2 linked regions of the Elephas maximus indicus genome follow. The protein of the gene in region 2 interacts with the protein of the main gene of each other region in a pairwise test. Links are inferred from orthologs where the notes say so. Each region holds a gene or a part of one and is shown on either strand. Other genes may lie near its edges.

Evidence for each region.
Region 1: the proteins of CCDC184 (region 2) and PBLD interact in binary tests that used the Homo sapiens proteins (3 or more experiments, as listed by UniProt). The two-hybrid records come from large-scale screens. The link is inferred for Elephas maximus indicus from reciprocal best matches to the Homo sapiens genes CCDC184 and PBLD.

What each region holds. Positions count from the first base shown.
Region 1 is NC_064834.1:19,537,497-19,554,221, reverse strand, and holds the start of PBLD (phenazine biosynthesis-like domain-containing protein), read right to left. Parts: upstream 8,402-16,725; 5' UTR 8,181-8,401; intron 7,646-8,180; exon of another isoform or gene 7,443-7,645; intron 1-7,442. Other genes in the region: HNRNPH3 (heterogeneous nuclear ribonucleoprotein H3), read left to right, coding at 12,838-12,994, 13,543-13,681, 14,179-14,366, 14,816-14,902, 15,216-15,331, 16,401-16,536.
Region 2 is NC_064822.1:103,053,103-103,068,886, forward strand, and holds CCDC184 (coiled-coil domain-containing protein 184), read left to right. Parts: upstream 1-9,812; 5' UTR 9,813-10,310; coding exon 10,311-10,904; 3' UTR 10,905-12,105; downstream 12,106-15,784.

The sequences.
Region 1 (16,725 bases), on a different chromosome or scaffold from region 2:
AACAATGGTCTCAAACAGAAAAATGGTTGTAAGGATAGTGCAGGACCGGGCAGTGTTTTGTTCTGTTGTATATATGGTTATTAGGAGTCAGTTATGAGTTGGTCAGGTAGCTGTTTTCCAAATTTCTTGGCACAGAGGAGTGATCACTTCCGTCTTTGCCTCTGTTTGTTAAAACATCTGAATTGGTATTCCATGAATTCCTGGAGCCTTCTTTTCACCAATGCCTTCAGTGTAGTTTGGACTTCCTTTATCAGTACCATCAGTTCTTCATCATATGCTACGCTCTGAAATTCTATCTTTCTTAGTCCAGCTAAATTTTACTTCTCCTCCAACTCTCAGTTCAGGAGTAATATCCTTCAGAAAGCTTTCCCTGAAGCCCCAGATTGTACTAAGTGGCCCAATTCTGTGCTCCCCAAACAATCTGTGCTTACTATAGTTTTATAAAATTTATCACTTGCTATAGTTTTATAAAATTTATCTATTTCACGGGATGTATCTATATGCTTCTGGAAACTAGGGGCAGCTTCACTTTATGCACTGGTATTTTTGCTGTTGTTGTTGTTGACAAAAAAATATATACTGACCTACCAGGAATTTAGTAATGCTCTCAAATCGACTTCTGTTTTATTAATCGCAACTGTATCTGCCTATATTGGAAAAACAGCAGCACGTTATATGTGAAATATTATTTATTCTGTTCAGAGATGATACATGGAATTCATATGGATTCAAGATCTCCCTGGAATAATTACTGACTCCCAACACAGGACGTAGGATACTGTACTTCCTTAAAAAATTCTATAAAATTCATTGTTAAAATGATTGTAACAGAAATGAACCGAGTTTATTAATAATGATATGACAAACTCACATGAAACAGCATAGGACTAGAATTATTATTATTTTAATTATTAATCTCTAACCTGTATATACATTTTTTTATATATATTTTTAACCTGTATATTTGGAGCCCTGGTGGCATAAAAAATAGTGGTTAATAATTTGGCTGCTAACCAAAAGGTTGGCAGTTCAAATCCACCAACCACTCCTTGGAAACCCTACAGGGCAGTTCTACTCTGTCCTATAGGATCACTATGAGTCAAAATTGACTCGATGGCACCTAACAACAACAATCTAACAAGCCATTTTATAGATTAAGAAACTGAGGTTCAGAAAGGTAAGTTAATTGTCTCAGGAACACACATCTGGTAGGTAAGTGTGAGAATGGGGTTGGAATCTAGGCCTGTCAAACTGCCTGATGATAAAGAAAATTCTAAGTTTTGCCACTGATATTCTTTGTAAATTTTGGAGCATTGCTTTCTCTCCCAATTCTATTTCTTGGTCCATAAAAAAATAACCTTGCTAGACTGTGATGAAATCAGTTACTTAAAATGATGCCGCCTCCAGTATGATCATCACTTTTGTTTGCACACTGAGCGGTATAAAACCAAATTGAACCAGTCAATTCTGACTTTATGGAAGCAGACTGCTACTGCCACATCTTTCTCCCAAGGAGCCGGAGCCATTGGTGGGTTCAAACCACCAACCTTTCGGTTAGCACCCAAGCACTTAATCACTGCGCCACCAAGGTATGTACATATAATGAAAACTATATTTCTATCTACCACTCACAATCTTAAAATTGTGTGAGGGGAAATTGTTACTCTAGTATCTATGTTTTTTCCTAAGTTATTAATACTAAAAGCTGTATAATAATTTGATTTAAATTCCTTAAGAAACTATCATTTATAGCTGTTTTTCCTGGCAGTCATGGAACAGAAAGAATTTCAATTATTTTTGAAAATTAGAGAAAGTGTGCTTTCTTCCTTTTGAGTTAGTACGATAATTATTAAAACTGAATGAGGTATTTTGGTTTCCATAGTCTGAGAATGACGTAGGTGACTTAAGGAAACAAATAAGTTTCAAGAATGTAAATTATAAAACTAAGTCTCCTTTTAAACAATTTTCAATCATCTCTAAAGACAGTAGATATATATATATATAAATCAAAGAACAAGCATCTCACAAGGTAAAAAAGGTTTAGTTGAAAAGACATTAACTACCTTTATTAGTTTTGGTCTGTTTCTAGTTTGTGTTTCATATAGGCAGAAAGGCTATTATCCAGTTTTTATATCTTCCAATGCCAGTGAGGGTATGTGAAGGAGCGCCCATCTTAAGCCATTTTTCAACGCGTCTTCCCTCCCTCGGAGGAGCAGGGTCTCTTTCAATTTGTTTCTTTTTCTTGGGCTCCGCACGGAACTTTCCTCTCTTCGTCATGCTGATGGTGTAATACATGGTCACGTGTTCGCTATCCTGTTTTCCTCTGGGTGGTGTGGGTACCTCTATTTCCTTCTCATTTTCCATCGTTTCTCTCATTCTGGCCTCTAACAAGATCCTCTCCAGGGTCCCTCTGATCTCTATGCTAATAGGAAAGCAACGAAATGACTGAAAACAAGACAAAGAGAAAAAAAAAAAAAAAGCCTAAAGCGGCTGGGAGCCTTTAGTCCTCAGCAGTCCTAACCGTCCCTATGGAAACAATCCCACAGAGATCATCAGGGAACGGTTCTACAGGGATCCCTGGAGCAAAGGTGAGCCAGTCTCACCAAGTCGTGTTTACAGGACTCAGCTTGCAAATGTCAATAGCTGATAGAAAGGTGGGTTAGTTTTTTTGTTGTTTCTAGAAAAGTACTAAAATGAGAAGCCAAATGAACACTAGATTTACCCCTACTTAGTGTACTCTTTTTTTTAACTGAAAACTTCCTACTTGCTGTAATTATAAAAAGGCAAGAGCAATGCACATGCGAATTTCAAGTCTTTCCTAAGTGTTCACGTTGCCAAATAGCACAGTGCCCAATACAAAGAAATTTTGGCCAAAAAAAAAAAAACAAACCCCACAAGGAAAGCATTGCAATTTGGTGGTGAAAAGTCATTCATACCATTAGAATGATTTTAGGATTCTGCCCCATAACAAAGAAACTATGCAGAAGGAATGCCAAATTCAATCAGGCAGTGAATAGATTATTTGAATTCAATCAAGGAGTGAAAGGGATTACAGAATTCCATCAGCCAAATCAGGCTGAAAGATTGAAAGGATAAAGTAACGACGAAGCCAGGGAAGAAGGACCTCATCTGAAGTGTGGGTGCTCAGAGTCTTATTATTAAAAAGATATGTGTGTATGGGGGGTGTTTAGAGTGTCAGTGATACCAGGATTACTGAGTTTCATGCCTGTTCAAAAACTTCCAGTCAATAAACTGGGAACTAAAGGTGCCCTGGTGGCGCAGTGGTTAAGGGTTCTGGGGCTAACCAAAAGCTCATTGGTTCAAACCCACCAGAGGCCCCTCAGGAGAAAAAAACCTGGCGATCAGCTCCCATAAAGATTTCAGCCTAGGAAACCCTATGGGGCAGTTCTACTCTGTCCTATTGAGTTGCTGTGAGTGGGAATCAGCTTGACAGCACGCAACAACAAACAGGTCTCCTGAGATGGTAATCCCAGTGTTTCTTAGCGGAAATAACTACCCCTCATTTTACGCATCAGGGCACCAATACGCAGAGTAGTAAATGGTCTGCTTTCACAAAAGGGTCAAGTTGTGTACTTTTCCTTATTCCAGCACGGAAAGTAATATCACAGTGTTTTATGACTCTGGCCCTTAGAATAACGCCCTTTGGGTCAAACGCTAGTTCTGTCTCTTAGTATCCGTGTCATCTTGGGCAACCGTTTTTCACTTCTCTGGGGCTCAGGCTTCTCGTCCGTAAAAGGAGGATAATAATAATTATCATCTTTTTGAGTTGTAAAGTCAATGAAATGAGTGCTTGAAGCAGTGCCTACCTCAAGTAAGCTCTCAATAAATGTGAACAATTGTGATTACAATATCCCAGTTTTGTTTTTCAATCTCTTGTAATTTTTTTAATCTTTTTTTTAAATTGTACTTTAGGTGAAGGTTTACAGAACGAACTAGTTTCTCATATTGTTTTAGTACACATATTGTTTTATGACATTGGTTAACAACCCTACGACATGTCAACACTCTCCCTTCTTGTCGACCTTGGGTTCCCTATTACCAGCATTGCTGTCCCCTCCTGCCTTCTAGTCCTTGCCCCTGGGCTGTTGTGCCTCTTTAGTCTCATTTTGTTTTATGCGTCTGTCTAATCTTTCACTGAGGGGTGAACCTTGGGAGTGATTTCATTACTGAGCTGAAAGGGTGTCCAGGGGTCATACTCCCGGGGTGTCTCCAGTCTCTATCAGTACAGTATGTCTGGTCTTTTATTGTGAGCTGGGATTTTGTTCTACATTTTTCTCCAGCTCTGTCCGGGACCCTCTGTTGTGAGCCCCGTCAGAGCAGTCAGTGGTGGTAGACAGGCACCATCTAGCTGTATTGGACTCAGTCTGGTGGAGGCCATAATAGATGTGGTCCATTAGTCCTTTGGACTAATCTTTCCTTTCTATATTTAGTTTTCTTCATTCTGTCTTGCTCCCAAAGGGGTGAGACCAGTGGAGTATCTTAAAAGCTACTCACAGGCTTTGAAGACCCCAGACGCTACTCACCAAAGTAGAATGTAGGACATTTTCTTCATAAACATGATATTAAGCCAACTGAGCTACATGTTCCCAAAGACCATGGTCCCTACAGCCCTCAGCCCAGCAATTCGGTCCCTCAGGGAGTTTGGATTTGTCTGTGGAGCTTCCATGACCTTGCCTTGGACAAGTTGTGCTGGCTTCTGCAGTAATGTGTACTGTTTTACCCTTCACCAAAGTTACCATTTATCTGTTATCTATTTAATGTTTTTCCATCCCCACCCTTCACCTCACTCGTAACCATCCAAGATTGTTTCTTTTTGTATGTAAACTTTTTGTGAATTTTGACAGTAGTGGTTTCATACAATATTTGTCCTTTTGTGATTGACTTATTTCACTCAACATAATACCCTCCAGATTCATCCATGTTGTGAGATGCTTCACAGATTCATCATTGTTCTTTATTGTTGGGTAGTACTCCATTGTGTTTATGTACCGTAGTTTATCCATTCATCTGTTGATGGGCAATTAGGTTGTTTCCATCTTTTTGCTATTGTGAACAATGCTGCAATGAACATGGGTTTGTGTACATCTATTCGTGTGACAACTCTCATTTCTCTAGGATATATTCCTAGGAGAATTTCTGGATCATTTCTAGCTTTCTAAGGAAGCACCATATCATTTCCCAAAATGGTTGTATCATTTTGCATTCCCACCAGCAGTGCTTAAGAGTTCCAGTCTCCCTGCAGCCTCTCCAACATTTGTTATTTTCTGTTTTTTTTTATTCTTGCCAGTAATGCTGGGGTGAGATGGAATTTCATTGTAGTTTTGATTTGTATTTCTCTAATGGCTGGCGATCGCAAACATCTCCTCAAGTGTCTATTGGCCACTTGAATGGTGAAGTGTCTGTTCATTACCTTTGCCCATTTTTTAAATGGATTATTTGTCTTTTTATTTTAGAGGTGTTGGATTTTCTTATAGATTTTAGTGATTAAACCTTTGTCTGATTTTTAAGAGTCAAAATTTTTTTCCCAGTCTGTAGGTTCTCTTTTTATTCTTTTGGTGAAGTCTTTAGATGAGCATAAGTGTTTAATTTTTAGGTCCCAGTTATCTAATCTTCTGGAATTTGTGTGTTGTTGGTTATGGCTTGTATCCTGTTAATGACGTGTATTGGGGAAACCCTGGTGGCAGAGTGGTTAAGCGCTCTGGCTGCTAACTGAGACGTTAGCAGTTCGAATCCACCAGGCATTGCTTGGGAACTCTATGGGGCAGTTGTGCTCTGTTCTATAGGGTCACGATGAGTCAGAATCGACTCGACAGCAATGGGTTTGGGGGTTTTTTTTTGGGTAATGATGATCCCACTGCCCTTTCTCTGCTTCCCCTAAGGCTAAGGGGTATTTTGAAGGAGCGGGCTCAAGGAAGGCAGCAGGGCAGTATGGCCCGGACAATTCTTGCTGCCCCATACTTGTCTTAAGCAACTTTGAGGATGAATTAAGGTCATGAAACGGAAGTTCCATTATGGGAAGTTAAATGGCCTCATGTCTGTATCCTACACACTGCAGATATCACAGGGGAAAAATTGTTCATGCTTTTCTACTACTAACACCACTGGAGCTCTCTCCCACACTCTCACACCCATGGGCTCCCAAATGTTTGTAGCACCAAGTCCAAAATCTTTTGGCTGGACATTGAAAGTTGTCTACAGCCTAGGTTCTTCCACATTTCCAACCTTAACTCACCCTACAGAAACACTTAGCCGCGGACAAACTGACCTCTCTCGCACTTCAAGTTTCTACCTTTGCACTTTAATTTGCATTGATCTCCTTATTAGGATTGCCGTCCACCCCTACCACAGAAATTAGTCTTGCATCTTTTGTGAAACTTACAAAAAGGCCATAAGGTATCATTAAGAACCTTAGTGACATGACTTCTTGTTGTTGGTTGGCATCAAGTGGATTCCAATTCTTGGTGACCCATGTGTGCAGAGTAGAACTGCTCCACAGGGTTTTCAAGGCTGTGACCTTTTCCATGCAGATCCCTAGGCCTGCCTTCCAAAACACCTGTGGCTGGGTTCAAACCGCCAACCTTTTGGTTAGTAGTCAAGCGGTTAACCATTTGTGCCATGCAGGAACTTCTGGTGGCATAGCAGCACAATTAAAAAGTGAGTATTAGGTGCCATCTGTACTGGCAATGCTGAAAAATACAAAGCTGGGTTTACAAAAAACTTTAAGTCGGCTGCCATAACTGGGAAATAAAAGTGGGGAAGATAAAAAGAAGATAACATGAAGGAGAGTGAAGAAAGATTTGTAGAAAGAAGGGAAATAAGGCAGAGAGAAAATCGATCAGGTAGCACTAAGGTGAGAGCTGGCTGCCAGGTGGCCCAGGCCCGGTTGGGGAGATTGGGGGACTGTGGTGCCAGCAGCTCCACTGGGAGGCTCCCCAGCCCGAGCGCGTATATTGGTGGACGCCTTTTTATCTCCGAAGCAGAGAAATGCTCCATTTTTATTGCATAATGCAAATATGGTGGACAAGAAAAGCCCTCCCTGCGTTTGACGGCCAAACCACGTGGCACCCTTCCCAAGAAGGTGACACTGGGGTTAGGAGCCTTTAGGGAATTTGTTCACGGTGGGCAGAGCACGGTTCCTTCAGAACACACTGGCAGGACTACTACTACCACTTCACATCCTCCCCGAAAAGGCAAATGATGGTCCCTGCCGCCGATGGTTTCACGATAACCACGACAAAACGAGTCCGTCGCCGCTTTTCCTCTAACCGTACCAGCCTCTTTTCTCCACCTCGCTCCAGAACACTAGCCAGCTCGCCAGCGCGCAAGCGCACTACTTGCTGCCGCGCCACGACAGGGCGGAGTCTCTTCTCTCGCGAGAGTGGGGCCGGCCGCTCTCCGTGGCTCTCGCTCCACCCCCTCCTCCTCGCTCGCTCGCTCCCATCCCCCCAACCAGTCGCTGTACTGCGCAGCTCCCTCAGCGGTTGCTACCGCTGGGGACGGTTGGAAGGACCGTTGCGGGGAGCGCTACGCGAGTCGAGCGGCTTCTCCTTCCTCACGGCCGCACCCCGTGGGCACCGGAGCCGGCGTTACTGTCTCCCGACAGGGTATCTGAAGTAAAAAGGGGGTAGGTTGGGCTGGTGGTTTTGAGAGCGGAGTCGGGAGAAGGACGAAAGAGAGACCGAGAGGGGGTGGGGTGGGGTGGGGGGAAGTGGGGAGGTCGCCGCTCGGAGGCAGCCGGGCTGTGCCTCCCGGGCGATCTCCCACTTCAAGGAGGACGGCCTGCTGCAGGGAGGTCTTGCTCAGGTGGAATTCAGTGGACGAAGCCGAAGACCGAAGTGGGGAGCACCCAACATTTTCCCTCTTTTTTTCCCCGTTGGCTTGGCCTCCGCCATTTTGAGTACGGTGGCGCGGCCATCCGGGCTTCCCGCCTTTCCCCGCTATTTCTGCTTTTTGGCCCCCAGCTTCCGAAAACTGGTTTAGAAAGCCGGGGGTCAGAGTGCTCTGGAGGGAATGAGGGTGGGGAGTGAAACGAGCAGGGAAAGGCCGGGCGCTCGGGCGGGTTCGATCAGGGTTATCGGACGCGCTCCCAGTGGAAATGGCGTCGGACGGGCCTGGCCTCCCACCCGGCCTCCCTTCCTCCGCAGTCTAGGCTGGGCTACCTGGGCTGGCGGGACTGCGAGTGACTTCTGACGCAGATTCCCAAGATGAAAGGCTGGAACCGGGGGAGGAAAACCAATGGCGACGAAGGCGCGCGCTCAACTCCCAAATCCAGGACAAAGGAGGGCCTCCTTTGTAATTCCGCCGCCCGGTGGCGAAGGTCTTTAAGCCAGGCTTGGCTGCCGGGCGGGGAGGGGGAAGGGGCGTCCTCTGCTTAGCGTTTTGGTCCCTAGGGCAGCTAGCTAAACGCAGAGTCTCCGGGAAGGGATAAAGGACGCTTAGCCGGCCCTTATATTCCAGGTTTGGAACTTCGGAAAGAGTACGTACTCGTTTTTCAAGGGGGAGGTTTTCACACTTACTTTTAACTTGAAAAAAAAAAAAAATGGGTAATCATTTAGTAATCAGAAAAATGGGTAACTTCTCAAACAGGAATGTGGTATAGGCATATTTCAAATAGGTTGTCCAGGCGCAGTGAACTGTTAGGGCTACTTGAACTTTTAGGTTGGGGTGGGGTGGTTTAGCACACACGGGTTTAAGTGGGAGCATTTTAGAAGACACATGGTGATAACAGTTACCTGTACAAATCGAGTTACTAATTTGTACCGAAAGATTTCCAAGGAATGTACCTTGTGCATAGATTTTTCCCCTCTTTGGCAGTGAAGCTAGAAGTAAAATATTTCAGAATACACTTCGGGTTTAATTTCTTTTGGCAGCTAATCATGTTTTTTCTTTAGTGTAGGAGTATAGTAATATTCTGGCCAGGGAAAAAAGCCTACTAAATAGAAAGTCAAACTGTAAGCTCAGTCGTGGTGGTGGTGGTTTTTGGTTCTGAGAACAGAGAACTGGATGGATAATTTTCACTAAAGACAGTAAAAGAGCGGGGAAGGCCTGAGAATAAGAGTTTTTAATAATCTGTGTAAATCTTTCTAAGAAATCTGTTATGTACTTTTTTTAGCTTAAAGAAAATCTTGCTGCCTATATTGTTGAAGATGGACTGTGATGCTTGGTCAATATTTGCCAAAGAAAAGTTTACTAAAATCCTGCCTTGAAACAGGTTTTAGTGGATTTTGAAAAGTCGGACCAGGGTTTCATGTTAAGGAGTATATGACATCATTTAACAGCTTTTCTAATTAGATGTTTTTTTCTGCCCTGTTTTTCATCAGCATCATTATCTGAACTCCATATAATTCTTCCCCCCCCCCAATAACTTTATTTTTGGTAAATAATTACTTGTTTTGGGAAGCAGTCACTGAACTGCAGTAGGTCACAGCTTTGCTCTAGTAAGTCATTCACAATCATTGTAAACAGCTCACATCTTCAGATATTGGTGGTGCATCTAAATATTTAAAATCAAGAAACAAGCCTGTTGGAAAGGGGGAATGGTGTAAAATTTTCAGTTTAGTTAAACTTAACACCTTTTTTTTTTTTTCCAAAACAAAGTTTAGAAAGTTATTTATTGAGGCAATAAGTCTTTATTTCATTTATTGTATTACAGAGGACACAATATGCCCCTATGTTATAAAGTAATGCTATATTATACTTTTTTTCTTTAAGAGTTTTTTGAGAAAATTGACATACTCTAAAATTCGCTCGTTTAAAATGTACAATTCGGTGGTTTTTAGGATATTCACAGAGTTGTGAAACCACTAAAGTCTAATTTTAAAACATTTTTATCACCCCCAAAGGAAACTCCCATGCCCATTAGCAGTCATTCCCCTGTCCCGCGCCCTCCCTTTGCTCCCCGCCTGACCTGACCCCCCCCCCCCCCCCAGCACAACTCTTGCCTCTGAAGATTTGCCTATTCTGGACACTTCATGTAAATGGATTCACACTACGTGGTCTTTTGTGATTGGCTGCTTTCACATATAGCATGTTTGAAAAGCTATATCTAAAGTTTCATAAAATTGCTAAAAGTCATCCTTTCAGGTTTAACTGCTGGTGTTTTTAATTGGTGGTAGCATTTGGAATTCTTAAAAGCATGATAGTAATTAGCCATGACACTGGTGCAAAGAAAGGTTGAGATGGATTATCCTGTATAAGTAGTAAACCCAGGTAGTTTCTCAGACAGCTTTAATGTGTTAGAGCAGATTGCTTTTTTGTATGGCTTTAGTTTGTCTTTTTTTTTTTTTTTAAGTAGAATTCTAGACTCTTAAATTTTTAATCGACTTTGAAGGGTTAATGCATGGGGCTGTCTTTATTAACACCGTTTAGTGTGTACTCTTCACACATGGGGTGGAGAATCACCGTACAAAATAGTTTAAATCTTCAGAATCTGGTTCAGGTTTCCCCAATTTAAAATTGTGTTGCTGGATTTTAGATGTGTTGACTGTACGATGTACCCCTTTGTAAAAGAAAAAGAACGAACTCTCCACCCCAGTTAGCTATTTTTAGTTTAGTGTGTTTTTTCTATTTTCTGGTCTTTGTTTTTACTCGAAGGCACTGGGTTTTTCACTGGGTTGTGTTTTTATGTATATAGGTCTTCTCATTGGTACAGGCTGATCCAAAAATCAAAACTAGCTTCTTTGCTAGTATTTCTTGGTGCTAAGATTTATAGCAAAAACAACCTAATTTTCCTTTTTTTGTTACTTGTTCCTGAAAGAGTACATTGAAAAAAATGTGGTAAGAGATGATAAAAAGCACCATACTAAAGTCTTCACAATAGATTGGATTGACTGCACAATAAATTTTTCATGAGGAACATTTGACTTTAGGTCCTCCACTTTTTCCCTCTTCTGTTCTTAAACGACCCTTTATAGGAGACACACACACTTAAGAATTGTTAGAGATTTCTAAATGTTTCTGATTGAACTTTTTTTCGAATTGATTCGGGGCCTACTCCAGAACAGTATTTTTTAAACTTTCTAGTTAACGTATGTATTGTGGTAAATGTTTTGCACACACCCCTTCATACAGTTCCTAAAGAAACTTAAAAACTTAGTTTTTACATGGCAAAACTTTTGTTGACTTTGGAAAAAATGAGGATAATTGTTTTTTTAACAGTCTTTATTTCCTTGCAAGAGTCAGAATAGCTTTCTCTCTTAAGGTTCAGATATCTTGTTTATGGTATATCTCATCAGTTTTGCAGGGCCACATAAGGTCCAGTAACAATGGCCACCATTGAATACACTTACAGTGTGGCACAACAAGCACTTTAAACAATTCTTTTAACAGGTGAGGCGTAGGCAGTACTTTTGTTTTACGGTTGAGAACAGAGGTTCCTCAGGGGTTAAGTAGTTTGCTTAATTAAGTAAATCCAGTGAGTGGAAGAGTAGGGATTCAAAGCCAGGGTTTCTCACTCTTAAAAGTTCATACCGTATGTTTGTGTGTGCAAGAATTAGTTGTAACACCAGTTAAAAATTTCACTTCCTCCCATTTTGATTCTCTGTGTTTAGAGTGGCACTTAGAGCTCTTGCTTTAAGAAACAAAACATTGAAGAGGAGATTCATGTGCAGAAATACTTGATTAATAATAACATTTGGAGAATTTCTGCATTAGCATATTTTAGGTGTGTAAATACTGGGAAAAGGAAATTTTACTCTTCGGAGGTGCTACCCCTAACTTTTGCACAGATAATTAGATGATGTGACATTACGTATTAATGAATATTATTGATATGAAATACAATTTTCAAGCATAAAGGAGTCAAGTGAACAAATTGTTTTGTTTACAGGGGAGGAGGTGGTGAGGGAAAGGTTTGAAATACTCAGGTGAGTAGGATTCCTACAGCTGCTTAGTGAAATTTGTATGGCTCTGGTAAGTTTCTGCAGCTGAAGGACTTCTGCATTAACCAAAAGCCTCTTGAAAATATTTGGGAATTTTAAAAGCAGAGATGGTTGCTCCAAGGAACTGGGTGGGTGGGTTCATATTGGAGGGAAGGGGGGTCGTCTTACTGTATGTGCCCTTCCACTTTTTGAATGTGAATGTTACTTTTTAAAAAAAAAAAAAACTTTTGTGTTGACTTAAAAGTAAAGCAATGATGGTCTTGTTTCTGTATACTAGCCCCAGTGGTTGCAAAAACAGTAAGACTGTTGGAAGTTATTAACTCAGTCACTTTTAAGCTGTTGCTCCTGGGGAGTGTTTAATCTAGAATTGGTTAAAATAGAGGTGGAAATCTCCCCCCACAAAAAAAAGCAATTTAATATGTTCAGATTTAAGGCCAGAATTAACTTCAAGCTTCTGTAATACCATTTTTTTCCCGACATCAAAGAAGTACTCCTTCTATTTTTGATTTACATTCTTAATGCGAGTGGACAGTGGTACTACAGACAGCTTCTGAATGAATTCAAATTTTAAAGAATTTGCATAACTATTCAGGTAAATAATGAAATCTGAAGAAATACGAAAGTTTGACAGGAGGAAAACGTTTGACATTAAGATGACAGGTCACGAACTAGGCGGAGGGTTTGAAGACAGTGGAATTTTGTAAGTTTTCTTAAAACAAGGCAATATATATTTGGTCCTTAGAGATTCAGTACTTTTTAGGGGTGATTGATGAGGTTTCACTGCCTTTTTCCAATCTTCTGTCTAGCCCGAAATAGAAAGCTGTTGTACATTGTGTTGTGGCATTATAGTAGGAGTCACTTATATTTCCTGTTGTGACACCACTGAGAGGTGTTTCTTCAGTACCTCTGGCAAGAGTATGTTTTGATTGACTACTTTATGTGCTTGTTTATTTTTGTAGCATTTATATCAAACGGTTTTGAGATGGATTGGGTTATGAAACATAATGGTCCAAATGACGCTAGTGATGGGACAGTACGACTTCGTGGACTGCCATTTGGTTGCAGCAAAGAGGAAATAGTTCAGTTCTTTCAAGGTACCTCTAGTATTAGTCAAAGTTTAGTAGTATTTTAATTTTATATTTGATTTATGTTGTTATTCAGCTTTTCATTTGTAAAACCCATTTGTTTTTGGAACCTTTTAGTTTTAATGATGATATCTCGGTGAATGTTTTAAACTATGAAGTGTGCTCCAGTTAATATTTCAATGCAGAATGTATAGAATGTATAAGAACTGATACCCAGTAAACTTAATTGAGAGTAATTATGTGTGATGAAATGAACCATGAATTAGCATATGGAGCATAGTTAAATTTGATTTATAGCCATTTCTTCTTTTTTTTTTTAATGTAATATAGGTGGGCTGAGAGTGTGTATGTAATTTAAAAAGACACTGGTCGCAAAGAAAATTATTTAATCCAATAATATATGAAAAAAATCTTCCATTTGTATTATGGGGTGATGGGAAACTAAGCTTTTTTTGTTTTGTTTTGTTTAGACTTGTTTTAAATATTTGATACAGATGGGAATGTTTCAGCCTTTAACACTGTTCCCCTTGATGGGGTTATTTGTCCTTGGGTTAAAGGGTTGGAAATCGTGCCAAATGGGATAACATTGACGATGGACTACCAGGGGAGAAGCACAGGGGAGGCCTTCGTGCAGTTTGCTTCAAAGGAGATAGCAGAAAATGCTCTGGGGAAACACAAGGAAAGAATAGGGCACAGGTGGGGATGGAGAGTTCGGGATGGTGTTAAATTTTTATTTTTGGGGGTTGTGGGTCACTTTATTAAATGGGGGGGTAACCATAACATTTTTCTGGGATAGTTTAAAAGAATTGATAATTTATCTAAATTTAACTTGGAAACTACAGATGTGGGTGGGGAATTAATGCTAAGTTTACTTAAAATTAGATTGTTCCCATTTTTCTGTAGGATGTTGTTGATAAATGCTTTTGCGTAATCACCTATTTTCTTTAAACACCTATCATGTACTAAAGAAAACAAATTATATTTTATGGATTCTTTTCAAACAACTAATTTATCTTAGTAAAACTTAAATATTTAAGTTTGTAGGTATAAAAAATGTTAACTTACGGTGTATTTAGGCAATTTAAATTGGGTTATGTAACTAGATGTAGACAAACTTACTGCATTTTGCCCAATATCTTGTTTACTCTAATACATTTGTGCTGAAACCTGTACCTTAAAACATTTTTAAATAGGTATATTGAGATCTTCAGAAGTAGCAGGAGTGAAATCAAAGGATTTTATGACCCACCAAGAAGATTGCTGGGACAGCAGCGGCCAGGACCATATGATAGACCAATAGGAGGAAGAGGGGGTTATTATGGAGCTGGGCGTGGAAGTATGTATGACAGAATGCGACGAGGAGGTGATGGATATGATGGTGGTATGTGTAGCTAATGAACAAAGGTTCTGTTGTCATTTTCTTAATATTCCTGACACTTTGTCAAGAAATACAGAAATGGCAGTCATTCCAGTACCTACTAGGTTTTAAAACCTGTTCATGAAAAAATGGATTCCCATGGCCACCTGTGGGATGTGATTGATGCACGTATTGGCACCTTGATAACTCATTCAGATAAAGAAGTTGAGACATTTGAAATATTTTGACATTTTCTATTTGGCATCAGGATGATTACTTGGCACGTCTGAATTTATCCTTTTGGGGTTTTTAATTTCCACCAGATGTTAACTGTTTTTCTCGTGTGTATTAAGAGTTGCAAACTTATGACCTAAGTGTATATTTTAAAACATACAAAGTATGTTTTTATAAACTAGATTATAAAAATCTATCTCTTCAAAGTGTATTCATGTATTTCTCCTTAAATTGCACAGGTTATGGAGGTTTTGATGACTATGGTGGCTATAATAATTATGGCTATGGAAATGATGGCTTTGATGAAAGAATGAGAGATGGAAGAGGTAAAATAAATGTTAAAAGACATTTTCATTTTGCCATAAATTTTAATATTTGCAACCAGTAAGTGGTAATTAAAAAAAAGTCAATTCAGGCATATTTCACTTCATTCCTGTATAGGGCTTTATACCTTCGATAGTTCTTGATGTGTACTTTCAGACAGATTCTCCGTTTGATGCTTAAAATAACTAAGTGATAAGATTTCTTGAATTGTCAAAGAAAAGGGTGTGTGTAGGGGAGAAGTGTTGTATTTTATTAAAATGCTCTCTTTGCTATATGTGTCAGCATTTTATAACTTTCAGAAACTTCATTCTCCAGGTATGGGAGGACATGGTTACGGTGGAGCTGGTGATGCAAGTTCCGGTTTTCATGGTGGTCATTTTGTACATATGAGAGGGTTGCCTTTTCGTGCAACTGAAAACGACATTGCTAATGTAAGTGATTTTTACTGGTTTTATAGTTATTCTGGTGTCCAAATTTTGAAGCATTCTTAATGGAAGTCTTCCTCTGTAGTTTAATGTCAAAATCTCTTGAATATAAAAATATATCTATCTTATTTTCAGTAGTTGATGAATATTTTTATGTCCATTTTGTGCCAGCCTACACAGGATTCGAGCAAGTGAAGGCTAAATTCATAAAGTCCATTTAAGAATATAGTGAAAGAATGATCAGCACAGGGTGGTGATGATTCAAAGCTTATTTCCTTTGTTTCCTCAGGTTAGAAAGTGTGAATATGTAGTAAGTCTATAGTTTCATTGGTTTGGATTGGCTTTTTAGGCTAGAAATTGGTTAGAAATTCGAGCAGCTGGAAATAATAGGAGTAAATACTGCAGCTATCTTTGATTTGAAACTAGTTGCTATACTTGAGCCCATGGGCCAAATACAATCATGCTCATTTGTTTACCTGTTGAGTAGTTGTGATAGAGATCCGTTGGCCCACAAAGCTAAAGATATTTACTGTCTGGCTCATGCAGAAAAAAATTTGCTCTTGATTGTATTGAGAAGCAGATGGCCTAATTTCTAAGTGCTTTTTAAGGATAGTGTAAACCTAATTAACTTGAGATTGGAATTTAATGATGTTTTGGACATTACTCATGCAGTTCATAGGTTTATCAAACCCCATTCTTCAGAATCATGATACACAGTGTCTCTGTGCATGTTTTCCATGTCTCAGGTGACCTATATATTTAAAATAGCAATTTTTAAATACATATCTTGGTCATGGCATGGGGCTTTACTCTCAGCAGTAGGCTATCAGATTTTTTCATCTGTTGAAGGTAAACTGATTTTCAAGGTTAGGTATTTTCATTTTAAATTAAATACATTATTTTGAAAGGGGTAATTTTCCCTAAGTGTGTAGTCTTACATTCCCAGAACCTCTGTAGTTCATGCAGTTAGACTACCAACACGGGAGTGGGAGGGTTTTGTTGCAAAACCAAGGTATGTGGTAATTTACTTTTCGAAAATCTGAATAAAAAGAAAATAATGTTTTGTTTTATTCAGTTCTTCTCACCACTAAACCCAATACGAGTTCATATTGATATTGGAGCTGATGGCAGAGCAACAGGAGAGGCAGATGTAGAGTTTGTGACACATGAAGATGCAGTAGCTGCCATGTCTAAAGACAAAAATAACATGCGTAAGTGGTATCCTTGGCATGCTGTCTGACTTGATTCATAAATGTGAACTCCCTTACAGAATAAGTATCTCTTACTAAGTGAAGAGGCCCTAGGGTATATAGGTAACTTCTGGCAGTCACTGGGACCTAAAACCATATAGACTTTAATGGATTCCTAGGGACTTTTTTCATTGGATTAATCTCTTATAT
Region 2 (15,784 bases):
CAACTGAAATGTCCACCAACAGTAGAGTGGAACGATAGAATGCAGATAAATACATTGCAGTACAATCATACAATAGGATACTGTAGAACAATGAAAATGAAAACAAAACAAAACAAAAAACATGGCTACCCCTACTACACTGATGACTTTCAAAAATATAATGTTGTGGAAAAGCAGACAAAAAAAAAATACATATAATGTTCAAAACAGGCAAAATCATACTATATTATTTACAGATATATAAATATGTAATAAAACTATAAAGAAAAGCAAGGAAATCATTATCACGAAAATCAAGGAAAGGGTTACTTCTAGGGATGCAGGAAAGAGTTTTGACCGTGAAGGGTCTTAAGGTAGGAGAGGGGGTGGCTTTTGGGTAGGGGAAAGATGCTTGTGATATTCTGTTTCTTGACCTGGATAGTGATTATATAGGCATGCTTTTATTAATTAAATTGTACATTCATGTTTATTTACTTCTATGTATCTGTACTATATTTCTCAGTTAATAAATATCCACAAAGAGAAGAAGAAAGAACAAAAGAAAGGGGGAAAGGACTTTTATGCAGAGAACAGCATGAATGAAGGCTTGAAACAATGTGCTGTGTGTATGCGAACTGCCAGCGGATTTGTGTAACCAGGGGGTAGGAAGTGGTGAAAAAAATGAGCCTGGAGGCTATGGGAAGGCTTTGGAAATTGAGATGTGAAAGGCTCAAATGTGAGTTCCTCCGGTTGCTGTGAGGAAACCCCGGTGTCGTAGTGGTTAAGTGCTACAGCTGAAACCATAGAGGTCAGCAGTTCGAATCTGCCAGGCGCTCCTTGGAAACTCTATGGGGCGGTTCTACTTTGCCCTATTAAGTTCTACTTTACCCTATAGAGTCGCTATGAATTGGAATCGACTCAATGGCAGTGGGTTTGGTTTTTGGTAGTTGCTGTGAAGAGGTGGATATATGGGGAGGAGAGGGGAAAAAATGGTCAGAGGGAAGACTGGAAGTGAAATAACAGATGATATTACCATGCCTCAGGCAGAGATAATAAGGGCCTGAAGTATAGTGTTGCTTGTAGAATAGGGATGAGCAGATGGATTAGGGACATGTCTGTCTATGGGTATTGGAGACCATGGTAACCTTCCTATCTTGAAAATCACGCAATCACTTTGGAATTCTTTCAACTTTGATTTGTGGTTAAAATGTGGATAGTGGGATTGTAGAAATATCGCAGAGCCAGCAGGCCTCAGTGGTAGGTAACTACATTTCTACTAAGCTAAACTCAGGCAAGTAAGACTCACTCCTGTCTTCCAAGGTCTCCCGGAAAGGAGATTCCAGGCTCCTTTCTCTCACATGGAAACCCTGGTGGCGTAGTGGTTAAGTGCTATGGTTACTAACCATAAAAGTTGGCAGTTCACATCCACCAGGTGTTCCTTGGAAGCTCTATGGAGCAATTCTACTCTGTCCTATTGGGTTGCTATGAGTTGGCATTGACTTGACAGCAATGAGTTTTTTTGTTGTTGTTCCTCTCACATATCCATCACTCTCAAGAAGTCCTTCAAGAGACCTGACCTAAATGCTTTGTCTTCTTCCTGCCCTCCATGGAATCAGAGGACAATGTTGCTCACCAGCCTCTGTGCTAGAGTTTGCCTCAGAGTTAAAGCTCTACGGAGTTCTTTTGAGCTTTTCCTTCTCTCTTAGATCACTGTTGATTATTTCCTTTCTTCCATTAGAATGCAGATCCCAAATAACAGCCCTAATATCATCTCCATGCTTCTCCTTTGAACTTTCCTCCATAACTCTTTTCTATGAAGAGAACTGTCCCCAAACGCTAATAAACGTTCACAAATATAAAGCAGAGAGGCCTTATATCTCAGAGCCCACATTTTAATACAAACAGCAGCAATTTCAATGTTCTAATAATGTGAAATTTTGGGTAACTTAGTATCTACCATTTCCAGAGGCATCTTAGATGGTACCATTATTCTGCTGAGCAACAAAGAGCCACTAATGACATCGGTAAGAGGGAATTGATTTTTTAATAATACAGGATGGGCTGGGAGGAATAGGAAGTTGGATATGTGACTTGGGATCACCCTCTGGGAAGGATCGAGTTCCCAGTTTAATACATTTGATTTGGGCCATCAGCAATGAACTTCACATACAGTTGCCCTCTTGCTTCTTAGAGACCCAGACAATACTGTGGAGACTAACACAGCCTTATTGAAATTGTCCTACTTACGTTGTTTAGAGACTGACTTCAATTCCTGGGGTACTGTTTTTCTTATCCTTGTCTGATGTTTGGTTTTAATTTGGCTTTACTCTCCCGGAAAGACTGATTTTTATGCATCCCTTATTAGATATTTAACAAATGTGTAGAATTTTTGGTTTGTTTTTGTTCTGTTTTGTGCTTTGGTTTTAGGACAGAAGTAGGGAAGGGCACAAGCAAGGGACAAATAGGTCTTAATTTTTTAATAGTAAAAAGTACCCTAGGCTAACATTGCCTTAAATTATTACAGTTTGACAGTTCAGGAACTCAAAGGGAAGAGGAACACTAGCTTTAAAAATTAATATTTAAAAATTATTTCTATTAATAATATCCCCTTTCAGCTAGCAATCTTAAAATTAGTAACAGAAAATTCACTAAATGGAGCATTTAATTGTGCAACTAGAAGCCACAGATCACCAAAGTAGATGGCTGAAACCCAGGACGCTAACTGCTCTCTAACAGAAGGCAGAGTTGGAGCTCTGCAGACTACATGTACTTAAGGGAGCTGCTGCTTTGTCTAGATATGGATTCAGACTTCATTAATTCATCTATTCAACAAATATTCATTGAGTACCCACCATGTGCCAGGCACTATTCTAGATGCTTGATATACAGCAGTGAACAAAACAAAACCCCTCCCCTAATGGATCTTACATTCTAAGTGGGGATGAGAGACAATAAATAAATAAACAAGCAAAAAATACAGTATAATATAGTATAACAGCAAAGTAATGGAATTAGAGAGTTCTTGGATAAAGGGAGTGGGAGCTGCTGTGTTGTATAAGGTGATGGTCGGGGGCCTCACTGATAAGGCCATGTTTGACCTGAAGGAAGGGAGGCATGTAGATTCTAGGGGAAGAGGGTTGCAGCATGTGCACAGACCTAGGGCAGAGGAATAGCAAGGAGCCTGGTGGGGCTGGAGTAGAGAGAGGTGGGCTGTGAGTCAAAAAGGTGGACGGGAATAGGGTGGAGAGAAACAGATCAGGTACGGCTTATTCTGAAAGGGAGGCCATTGGAGGTTTTCCAGTAGGGTCCTTTTGCCTTAAAAATGCAGGCCTTGTGCCCTTAAACTGTGAATGTGTGGTTGACGGGGCCCTTCTCCTCACTTCTGCCTAAGACCCAGCACTGCTGTAACGTTTTGAAGATGTGGATTACATTTTGGGCTCCTTGTCGATGACACTGGCATAGTCTTCTTCTGCATCTGTGGAGTAACACTGGAGTATACTCCTGCAGTGACTGCTAAACTGCAGCTGATAGTGTCTTGCTGGCCCTCGGGACACCATCCCATAGCAAGAGGGAAGTGCTAGACACCACTTTTGACAGTATTTTTAGGTTCTCTGAAAGGGGCAGAGTATAACTAGATGTATTAGAATGAGATCTACAAATTTTTGTGTGCATTTTCTCTAAGCAGAATTTCACAGGCTTCCTCAAGATATGACAGTTGAAAAAAAAAGATATGACAGTTGAGAAGAGATCATGGAAGTTGCATAAAGCAACATTGAAGGACACTAAATTTCTAAAATCTCCTTTAATGAAATGGAAGTCTGGGGTAGACATACCACAGTCCCTACCCTGCCCTAGATACTTGAGATTACTCCTTGCCATTGAGTCAACCTTGACTCATGGCAACCCCATGTGTGTCAGAGAAGAACTGTACTCTATAAGGTTTTCAATGGCTGGTTTTTCAGAATTAGATCACCAGGTCTTTCTTCTAAGGTGCCTCTGGGTGGGCTTGAACTTCCAATCCAGGGACTCCTATTTGGGCATAATTTCCTTTAAACTGGACTAATAATCAGAGAGAGGCAATTTGTCCAGAAAAATCACCCCGTAGCACCAGAAATTGTGGATGTTTTCAGGTAGCTCAGCATTATCAGTGCCTGATGAGGATTCTGACTTGTGGCCAAACCATGCTCTAAGCTGTTTCAAGAATGGCAGCCTTCTGGGGCAGGAAGCTATATGGAGAGGATGGGAAGGACATGCAGCTGTCCATCCAAGGTCATCAGTGGCTTCAGAGCTCCAACCACCTCTGTGTCTGTGGCCAATTTACCCAGCAAACCTTGGACTAGAATTGGTCATTTCAGAAGGGTGCAAGAAAGAAGATTGAACATGCACTGAGAGAGGAAAAAGGAGCCTCTGCAAATGCTGACATTAGAGAAGCCATTGCAGTGGTCAGGGCAGAGATGGGGGATAGAATGAACATCAGCAAAGCAGGTTCGACTGGAATGAAGGGTTATTTTTAGAGGAAATTCAGGCTGCATGAGAAGTTGCGGGGCCCCTGGATTTGTTGATCTGAGAAAAATTAATGTGGAAGAGAAAGAAAGGGGGTGGCCTTAAAGATTCCTATTATTTTGTTTAAGTTCACAGAACAAGCAAATGAAAGTCCATCTTAGGCCTTAAGTGAGGGGTGAGTTTGTGGCTCACCTTATGGCCATATCTGTGACACTTAAGACTCTTAAGAATAGTTGGGCTCTGTTAAAGATTGAATTGTGTCCCCCAAAATATGTGTTGGAATCCTAACCCCTATACCTATGGATGTAATACAACGCAATGCAACGTAATGTAATCACTTTTCATAATGCAACCTAATGTAATGTAATCAATCAATTCAGCTGAGATCATACCAATCAGTGTAGGATGTATCCTAAACCTAATTAATTCTGAGTTATAAAAAGAGCAAATTAGATACAGAGGCACACACATACTGGGGAAGACAGATGCCACGCGAGGATGGCCAAGGAACTGAACACTTGGAGCTACCAACAAGGACAGAATTGACTCGGCTGAGACCCTGATTTGAACATTTAGCCTCCAGTACTGTGACAAAAAAAATTTCTGTTCTTTAAAGCTGCCCACTTGTGGTGTTTGTATTACATCAGCACTTGGTAACTAAGATAGGCTCCCTCCCCAGTCAGAGGCTCACGAGGGCCCAGGGTCTTTGCACACCATCATGCTGGTTACCCTGTGCCAGTGTGGGAGCGGTGAGCAAAGCAGGTTGGCCGTAACAGCAGGCAAACCTCTTTCTGGTGCTGAGAAAACCTAGTCTATGTGACACAAAATCCCCAGTAATATGAGTACTCTCAGCCTCTTAGTCTCTCTTACTGTCTCAGGAGACCCCTGTCCTTAAGAGTTGGGCTTTCGGTACTAGTGCAGATTAGGGAAGCAAGGGAGAGAGTCAAAGGAGCTGAAACAAACTTTGATTCCCTTATGTTAGAAGGACAAGGACTTTCTTTTTGCAGAAGAGAAAAATACATTCAAGAAGTGAGAGGAGTGAAGGACTGAGAAAGCAAGTGCTAGGATTAAGAGAAAGTTTGAGGTGTTGAGGAAAAAGGAGAGAGACTGGAGGCAACAGTTATGCCATAAAACGTGCAATGCATAGAGGAGGGGAGAAGAGGAATTTAAGATGTTTTGCTCTGTGCTGAGAATGTAACCCCATTAGACTTTTCCCAGAGACTATAAAAAAATTGAAATTGCTTTTTAATTATTTTTGGCTATTGGGTGTGAAATCTTGCTGAGATGAGCCACAAGGCAGCTCAGCTTCATAAAAGTTAAATTTGGGGGAGTTACTGCCTGGGATTTGGGGGCCTAAGATGCAGCAGTCAGCTGTATGTTGATTTAAATAATTGTTATAGGTCTGAGTCAAGGGAGCAGCTTCATCATGACTGTTGGATTTGTAGTGCAAAAGACACACTAGCTTTAGAAAATCGAACTGGAGATCAGCTACACACCAGAATAGAGGAAAATGGCAGAGACAATTTAGAATCACAATCTTGGGGAGAATGTGATGTTTGGAACTAGGTGTACCTGATGGAGATCTACATCTATGCATCACGGGGTCTCTTCCCCTCATGGGCTGATGAGACTGGGCTGAAGGAATGGAACAGCTAAGGCGGCTCCCAGAAGATAAGAGAAAGGCAGGAAGCAGAAGAGGAGTGTGTAGGGTTTATTTTTACTCACTATGTGTCAGTCCCTCTGAATACTCTAGTGGGATGGCCAGGTTGTCCCTAAACCTCCTTTTTTTTTGGGAATGGGCCCACTCAACAACCTTAGGGCAATGACATCCAGAGTACCCAGTCCTGTAACCCAGCCAACTGAGTCTCTGCTTTGCTCTCTGCCTCTGTTTTTCTTATTCTCCAGAGACTAGAGCCTCCTCCTACTCCTCCTTGTCTGATTTTCCTACAGAATTCTGAAATTATCTGGTTCTCCTCCCTGTATTTTCAAGTCCTGCTACTGATTCACTCCCCCAGTTCCCACCTACCCGTGGCTCTTAAATGTCTGACCTGGAACTTGACTGGATCGGCCACACCCCTTGATCTCTGCACGCGTTTCCCATGTTCTTTCTTGCTTCTCCAATAATTTCCCCTCCCTCTAGGCTCAGCACCCCCTTTCTATCAGCAGACTTCATGGCCAGTGCCTCTGGAAAGCATGATGTAATCTTGTGATCCTATGCTGAAAGCCTTGACATATATGGTATACTCAACAACTGTGACAAAGAGCCTATATGATGGCATAACCCAGCTCCTACTGCCTGGAGGCTATGTTTAATTTAGGGATTGCTAAGATGGGAGGCCTATAATGGGGAGAGGGCCACTCTTTGTAGGCAGAAGGCAGGGACCCACCTGAAGGGTGAGGGAACTGGCAAGATGAAATCCTTCCCTTGAAGTGCAGGTGAAAAGATGTGAAGTAATAGCCTGAAGAAAAAAGCCTGAAAGCAATGCCAGGCTTTACTGGCTATAGCAGAGCTCTCCAGGCAGGATGACAGCAGGGTTGAACCCCATGTCTGCTCTGGAAACAAGCTCAAGGTGGTGTGATCAGAAACGTATGCTGTGTAAGCTCACCTGTTTTTGTGTGTCCTGTCTCAGCTGCCAGTTCTTCTATAGCTTTTTGTTTAGTCTTTTTGTAAATACCAGTCCACTTTTTCCTTAAGGAAACCGAGGAAAAGCATTTCTGTCCTCTTTTGAGTCAGGGCTTTAGGGCTAACCTGTGGGGGCTCATTGTGACAACAGTGATAACCAAGGTGAGAGTGCTCAAGTTTGTGGAATGAATGAATGAAGGAAGGACAGACCTAGCAGTACAACTGAATCATTAGTTTTAGAAAATACAATATTATGGGTCTTTTATATCTTTGTATATTTGTTTTAGGAAATAAGTTTCTAATAACTACTTTTTTATATTAACAATGTTTTAGATTATTTAAACATTCCGCTGTTGGATATTTAGGATATTTCCAATTTATTTCTACTTTATAGCAGTAATACAGGCAAAGACCGAATAGTTCTTTAGTGCCATGAATGTTTTTCTGGGCCCCACTCTTCACTACGGAAGCCCCAAAGGACCAAGTTTGCTCTCATTGAACCATTAGTGTACAAAACACTCACCCATAGCTATCTTGTCCCCATCTTGAAGGGATGCTGTTTGTTTCTCCTCCCCAGATTTATTTGATCTTGTGAACTTCATTTTTGGTTTCTGATCACTTGGCTTCTCCAATTTACTGTTGTTGTTGGGTGCCACTGAGTGGATTTTGACTCATAGTGACCCCATGTGACAGAACAGAACTGCCCCATATGGTTTTCTTGGCTGTAATCTTTTCAGAAGCAGATCATCAGGTCTTTCTCCTACGGAGCAGCTGAGTGGGTTCGAATTGACAACCTTTCAGTTTACCAGCCAAGAGCTTAACCTTTTTGCCACCAGGGATCCTCTCCAACTTACTGGGTTTATTTTAATTAAGGAGACTTGGTGGCACAGTGGTTAAAGCACTTGAATCCAAATTGAAAAGTTGATAGTTTGAACCTACCAGCTACTCCATGGGAGAAAGATGTGGCAGTCTGCTTCCTTAAAGGTTTACAGACTTAGAAACCCTATGGGGGCAATTCTATTCTGTCATGTGGGGTCTCTATGAGTCAGAAGTGACTCCATGGCAGTGGGTTTGGTTTTGGTTTTATTATTAATTAGTATGTTGCTGCCCAGGGCCTGACTGCTTCTCACTTTACTGTCATCTGTAAATATATTAAATCCAATTTTTTCTTCCTCATCTTCACCTCCCACTAGGCTTTTCAAACAGTGAAAGGGGTTGTCACAAAGGTTGGGACACTCAGTGTATATTTGCACTGGGTGGAGGGAGGGGAAATTATCCTCACACACAGTTCGCCCATCCATCCCCTCCACACAACTGTCAACAGTTTATGCCTTTATTCGTAAGCTGACACAGAGCATTACTCAGAGTTAGAAATAATATTATAGATTATCCAGTCCAGACCCCTAGAAGATCAGGAAAATGATTTGGCCAAGGTCTCTGAATTAATAAGTAGCAGAATCAAAACTTGAATTCAGGTCTCCTAACATTCATCTAGGAGTCCTGGTGACACAGTGGTTAAGTGCTCTGTTGCTAATCAAAGGTCAGTAGTTCAACCCACCAGTGGCTCTGAGGGAGAAAGACGTGGCAGTCTGCTTCTGTAAAGATTACAGCTTTGGAAACCCTATAGGACAGTTCTACTCAGTCCAATAGGATCACAATGAGTTGGACGCCACGGTTTTTGGTTAACCTCCGTCTAGGAGTCCCTGGGTAGCACAGTTAAGCATGCTACTAGCCCAAAGGTTGACATTTTGAACCCACCCAGAGGTACCTAGGAGAACAGGCCTGGTGATCTGCTTCCAAAACGTCACGGCCTTGAAAACCCTACGGAGCAGTTCCACTCTGCACACATGGGGTGCCCATGAGTCAGAATGGACTCCATGGCAACTAACAACATCCACCTGGGTGAGGGAATGGGACACGACACAGTGGTTCTTGTTAAAGCATTCATTTAACAAATACACTGAGCACCTACTTACTATGTTCCAGGCACTAGGGATTCAGCGATTGGGGGGTGGGAGGGAGAGGCAAAATCTCTGCTCTTCATAGAGCTTTCATTCTCAACACTTAAGTGCTTCGCGTCACCGTCCTGGAAAATACCCTAGTGACCTGGGAAGGAGCGATTGGGTCTTCCATGGAAGGGAATCCCATCCTTTCTCAGTTTCTGTGCTTTCTACAAAGACAGCTGATTTACTGCAGAAGCCGAAGTGTGAGGCAGAAATCTCGGTAGTGCTCTCCTTCTACCCTGCCGAAGCCTGGCGGGGCCGGATCCAGGGTGCCGCGGCGCACCAGCTCAAGTCAGATGATTAGCTTGGGCCTCTCTACCCTCTCCGTGTTCCTGCGGACAGCTGGAGGACAGAGAAGCAGGACCCAGCTCTGCGCCATCCCTCAGGGAAGGGAATGCGCGCTGGTGAGAACGCTCCCGAGGCAGTCGCACTCAATGTCTGATACCCAGACTGGGGAAGGGATGATCCCCCTGGGCTTTTGGGTTTACGCAGCAAACTGCTTTCTCATGCTTCCCCATTGAACATTGCAGCCACACGCTCTTTCCAGCCTCGCCGAGGCCACTGCAGCGCTCTACTCTTCCCTTCCGCCCCACTCGTTAGCTCCGACTCCAGAGCCTCGGTTCCTTTTTCTTCGCCACTTCCTGGTTGCTATGGAGACATACGTCATTTACGTGCCGTGCGTCGCCTTGGAAACAGAGGAGCATCCGCGGCGCAGTGGGGAAGTCGGCCCCAGCCGCTCCAAACACGCTCGCGGGCGCTGCCTGTTAATGGCTGGGGGGAGTCCCGAGCCGGACGCGCTGCTGGCCTCTGTCTCGGCCCGAGCCCCTCAGCGAGCGCCTTTGTGACTCAGGGAACCGGCGGGCACTCGCTGCTCCTGGCGCCCTGAGGGCGGCGCTGATACGGGCGCAACCCCGGAGCCCAGGCAGGGCGCGGAGCTTTCGCCCCGGGACGAGCCCGAGAGACGCCGGCACTGGGACCCTCGCCCGGTCCTCTTCCCGCCGCTTCTCCTTGGACTCCCCCGAGCCTGCCCGTGCCCTCCGCCCAGGACTCGTATCCTTACGTCGGCTTCCCGCCCCTCTCGGGAGCCTCCTCTTCCCTGGGCTCCTCCCCGCCTCCTCCCGGGACCCCCTCCTTGCCCTTCCCCCGCCCGGAGGCCCGGCCGGACCGGACCCCGAGCCGCCACCGCCCGCTTCTGCCGTTCAATGGAGGACGGTCTGCTGGAGATCATGACCAAGGACGGCGGCGACATGCCGGCGCCTCTGGAGGTGTCCACGGTGCCGGCCGTGGGGGACGTGATCGCCGGGGAGTACAACGGCGGCATGAAGGAACTGATGGAACACCTGAAGGCCCAGCTGCAGGCCCTGTTTGAGGACGTGAGGGCCATGCGGGGGGCCCTGGACGAGCAGGCTTCGCACATCCAGGTACTCTCGGACGACGTGTGCGCCAACCAGCGCGCCATCGTCTCCATGTGCCGGATTATGACCACGGCGCCCCGCCAGGGCGGCCTGGGCGTGGTCGGCGGCAAAGGGAGCTTCCCGGGCGCCCCCCAAGAGCCGGAGAACCCTTCGCCTGGGGCCGGAGGCAGCGGCTTGCTGGGTCGCGAACCCGAGGACGAGGAGGACGACGACGACGAAGTAGAGAAGAAGGAAGTGCCCAGCCCCGCCACACCCACCAGTCACTGTGAGCGTCCCGAGAGCTCCTGCGCTGGTCTCCTTGGGGGGGACGGGCCACTTGTGGAGCCCCTCGACCTTCCCGACATCACCCTTCTGCAGATGGAGGGCGAGGCCTCCCTGTGAGGGGACTCCGCAGAGGCACCTTTCCGGGCTGGCTGTGGGTTTCCCAGTGCATGACGTGAGAGGACTGAACGGCGCGGTGCCGCATGCTACCTCGTAGATCAGGCAGGGAGAGACTCCCGAGGAATGATTTGTAAGGTGAAGGACTTTGGGAGCATCAAGAATTCTTTCTGCACAACCAAGCGAGAGGTAGCAAACGGCGGAAAGGTGAGGCTCCAGGAGAGGAAGCGCCCGTCTCTGGACTCCTATCCATCCCCTACCCTACCCTTACCCCTCTCCGGCCAACAGGAGAACCCCTGACTTGTGTAAATAAATTCTGCTTTTTCTATTCTGAAAAAGGACTTATCTAGGACTATGGCAAATAATCTCTAAAGATTTACCTAGAAATTAAGGAATTGGGGTATTCTGTTCTGGCAACAGGACATTTGCCCTTCTGCTGAAACCCAACTTATTCAGTGCTCTGCAGAAGGCTCTCCCCCTCACAGATCTCGGCGGCTCCTGATTGGTAAAGGAAGCTTGAGGAGGGAACCGCAGCCCTAGGAATCTGGGTGAATGGGGTTCCAAGGGCCCCTGGGCTGGGAGGAGCTGGCTGTGAATGTGCATGAAGACATAATAGTTCAACCTCTAGGATTTTGCATGCAGAGCGGATCCTGCCTTGTCACTGACTTCATCCGGGATTGCTTTTCCACTCACTGGGGTTTAGAGAACAAAGAACCCAGCTCACAGGCAGAGACTCGGGTGCTCAGCAGTAGCCCAGATTTAGGGGACGTTTGAGGGACTCTTGGGAGCCGCAGCCAAAAGTTCTCTCTCTTCTGGCTACATCCACTTAACTTCAGTTCCTTTTGCTGCCAAAATATCCTTGCCCGCTGCCTCTCGGTGTTGCCTCCATGATGTCTTGTGTGTATTATGTGTGTCCACATGTGTAGTAGTGTGTGAGCCCTGAGGGGCAGGGCTTGTGGCTCTGGCGTTAGGTTTAGGGGACATCCGACCCTTCTGAGTCCCAAGCTGTCATGGCGCTTCCCCTTCTCCCTTTCTACCCCCACCAGGGCATGGAGCATGTGGCTGTCCTGAGGTTCCTTAACTCACGTGCCTCCCTGCTGCCTCCTCAAGTGGTGACTTTGTGTGCCCATCCCCCTCCTTTGTGTATCCCTTTCTCAATGCTTTCCTTGGTGTTAACCTTAATAAAGAGGCGTCATCTCCCCTCCTTGCTGACTGGTACTAGAGGGATGTTAGGGTGGGGCTTCTGGGCCCACTGCATGGACCAGGGCTTAGTGGGAACTGCCTTCCCTCCTCTCTCCTTGCTTCTAGTTCCAAGGAGTTGACCCACCATGGTCGGGACAGTCACTGCCAGTTTTGCCTGCTTTCCCTTCTGATCTGGACCTTGATCTCAAGTTGGACTAGGGAAGAAGGGAATATTTGTTGAGACTCCCAAACTAACAAGAATTTTTAGTAACCAGAACTTCAGATGTGCTAAAGACTTCTTTTCAGTGAAGCACCTGGCCCCTAGGAAATGATTTCCAAGTCTGGATCCTGGAATGGCAGGCGTGACATTTGTTCCATGGAAGGGTTAAGGAGGGGAGACCTTGGGTGGTACGGTTAGTGCTCAACTGCTAACCAGAAGGTTGGAGGTTTGAGTCCACCCAGAGGCACATCGAAAGAAAGGCCTGGTGATATACTTCTGAAAAATCACCCACTGAAAATCCCATGGAGCATAGTTCTACTGTGATACGCATGGGGTTACCATGAGCCAGAGTGGACTCCATGGAAACTGATTTTTTTTTTTAATTGTTTGGGAGGGATTGCCGGGGATTGCTGGGAGGCACAGAGTGACATATCACAAAGGAAACCACAATAACTGCCTCAGATCTCTAGTGGAGAATGCTGGTGTGGTGTTCCCTGGGGAGCTTAGGCAGACATCAACTCTAGTCACTCCCTTGAGCAATGGAGATTTCCCAAGGCAGCCCTGGAATGCAATTTGAGAGCAGGATGAACTGGGATGCTGTGTGTATGTGTGTGTGAGAGAGAGAGAGAGAGAGAGAAAGAGAGAACAGGGAGGTGGAAAGAACACTAGAGTCACAGATCCGGGATAGAATCTCAGTTCCAACAGTGAATCAATTTCTTAAGACTTAGTTTCCTGTTTGAGACTTAGCTTTTGAATGTATAAAGTGGGGATAAAAAGTTATTGGGGAGAATTAGCTATATAAGACCCCTAGGAAGTCTTGTGCAAATGTTAGTTTCCCTACATTTCTCGGGGGTGGGAATGAGACAATGACTGACTCCTTTGGGAAAACAAAACTACCCAGGGAAGGTTCTAGAAGCTTTCATTTTATATAATCTTTCCCTACCTAAAGAACCCTTATCCTTCAGGAGAGAATTCAGGAAAAGAGGATGGTGAGATTCCTAAGCTAACTCAGGTCTTTTTTTCTCATAAATGTTCATATAACTATAAGCTTGGGGGTCAGCCCTGTGCACATAGGATGAGCAGAGGAAGCCTTGAGTTATGCAGTGGTTGGGAAATGTGTGTTGGGGGCTGTAAAGAAGGCAGCTAAAACATGTAAGTGGGGAAATGTCCCTGAGGACTCAGAGAGAGTTTCCTGCTATAGCTCCAGTATTCAGCACTAATAACTAATAATAGCTACAAGCACTTACTGTGTGCCAGGTACTATAATCAAATTTATCTCCCAACAACCCTATGAAGTTAGCAGTGTTATTATTTCCACTCAACAGTTCAAGAAACAGCCTTCAAAACTTGCTCAAGGTCACACAGCTAGTACTTGGTAAAGCCAGGACTTAAACCCAGGTCTGCCTGACTTGAAGAGCCTTACATGGTAACCACTCTGCTAATTGCTCTATTATTTGGATCTTCAGAGGACATTTATTATCTCCACAATCTAAAGAGTCTTGAAAAGAAAATAACCTTAGTTTTAGTCATGTTTCATCTTCTCAGTTGGAATGAGAAATTGCAATTTAGGTTTTGGCTAGTATCTTAGTTATCTAGTGCTGCTATAACAGAAATACCACAAGTGGATGGCCTTAACAAACAGAAATTTATTCTCTCACAGTTTAGGAGACTAGCGATCCAAATTTAGTGCACCAGCTCTGGGGGAAGGCTTTCTCTCTGTCAGTTCTGGGGGAAGGTCCTTGTTTTCAATCTTCCCCTGGTGGAGAAGCGTTTCAGCGCAGGGACCCTGGACCTGCTTTCTTGGTGGTAGCAGGTCCTCCTGTCTCTGCTCACTTCTCTTTTATATCTCAAAAGAGATTGACTCAAGACACAATCTTGTAGCTTGAGTCCTACCTCATTAACAGAACTGCCTCTAATCCTGCCTCATTAACATCATAAAGGTAGAATTTACAACACATAGAAAAATCACATCAGATGACAAAAAGGTGGAGAAACCATGGCCTAGCCAAGTTGACATGCATTTTGGGGGGACACAATTCAATCCATAACAGCTAGTGACTCTTCTTAGAGTCCAGTGGGTGGTAATGTAATAATGGCACCAAGAAGACGGCCTTCTGGGCCTGCTCCTTGAGAGGAAGAAACCGATGCTCCCAGGTATTCCCTGACACAGCTCCATCTTTATGCCTCTTTCCCATTTCCTGTAGCTCATATCCTCCAGTCTGACCTGAATCCCAATGGCAGCTTACCCATTTAGCCTCTGTAGAAAGGGCTAACATTTGACTTTATTTCAGTGCCCCATCCTATGCCCACTCTCCTGAACATGTCATCAATCTCAGCACAGAGCCTCCTAGAAGGTCTCTAGTTATCCAGTCTCCCCTAAGTCCAGATAGATAAAAATATCCCCCCAACAGGCAATTCTTCAGCTTTCTTCAGTCACCTGCACCAGTATCTCACAGGTATCCATTACAGGTTGGTTTCCACCTCCTTCCTCCCCATTCCCCACTCTCCTCTTGTGTTTCTCCTTTGGAATGCTGCTGATGAGTGAATTTCAGGTAGGATTCCTAACCTGAGAGTCATGGGAAGGGGTTACTATTAGACTCCAGGGGAACATAACCCTTTGAAATTGAATGTAAAACCTCATAAGTGTGCATTGTCTAGAGAGAAGCTCCATTGTTGTCACTTAATTCTTAAAAGGGTATATAAATCCCACCCCCCAAAGTAAGAATCACTGAGCTAAAGGGTAATGAGTTTGTTTTTTTTTTTTAACTTGAAAAATACCAAGGAAGAAATGATCCTGCCTGAGGCTGATACTCCTAGCACCCTTGCCTCCTGGGGTCTCCTGACTATTTCCTACACCAAATCGCAATCTTTACATAAATCTGATTACTAACCACTTACTCAACAAATTCAGATTATATTGACACTATATGCTAAGAATCCTGACTTCCACTGCTTCGAAGTCTGCTAGTACTTGGGGTATGCCAGGGCAGTGCTGATGTATGCAAGTGAAGAGATGGCGTCCTCCGTGAGACTGTGCTGCCCTTTAAGTCTGAGCCGAATATGACACAGTGCACCCAAAGTTTCAGGGTTACTCATAACCACTCTTTGAGTTCCTGGCCTTCTTGTCTCTCATTGGTCTAAGGGACCTCTCTCAGTGTTTGGCTCTTAATCTCTTAGTATCTTTACCTGAAAACACATACAACTTCATAGAAATAAGTGAAAACTTTAACCTGGTACAACTGAAATCTGCTCTTAAAGAAGTAGCGACTTTTCTAAAAGATGCAAATTGGCCTCCAATATAAACCAGCAGTTTTATATGATCAAAGTATTACCACAGACTATGGTCTCTGCTTGAGTTTTCCCAGAACTAAGGAGTAGTTTTTTTCCCCAAATATATTTAAGTCTATACTTCTTGCGAGACAGAAAAGCACTTGCATCTCTGAAAAGGCAGGTTTACATAAGTGTCTTTCCCCATCTACAT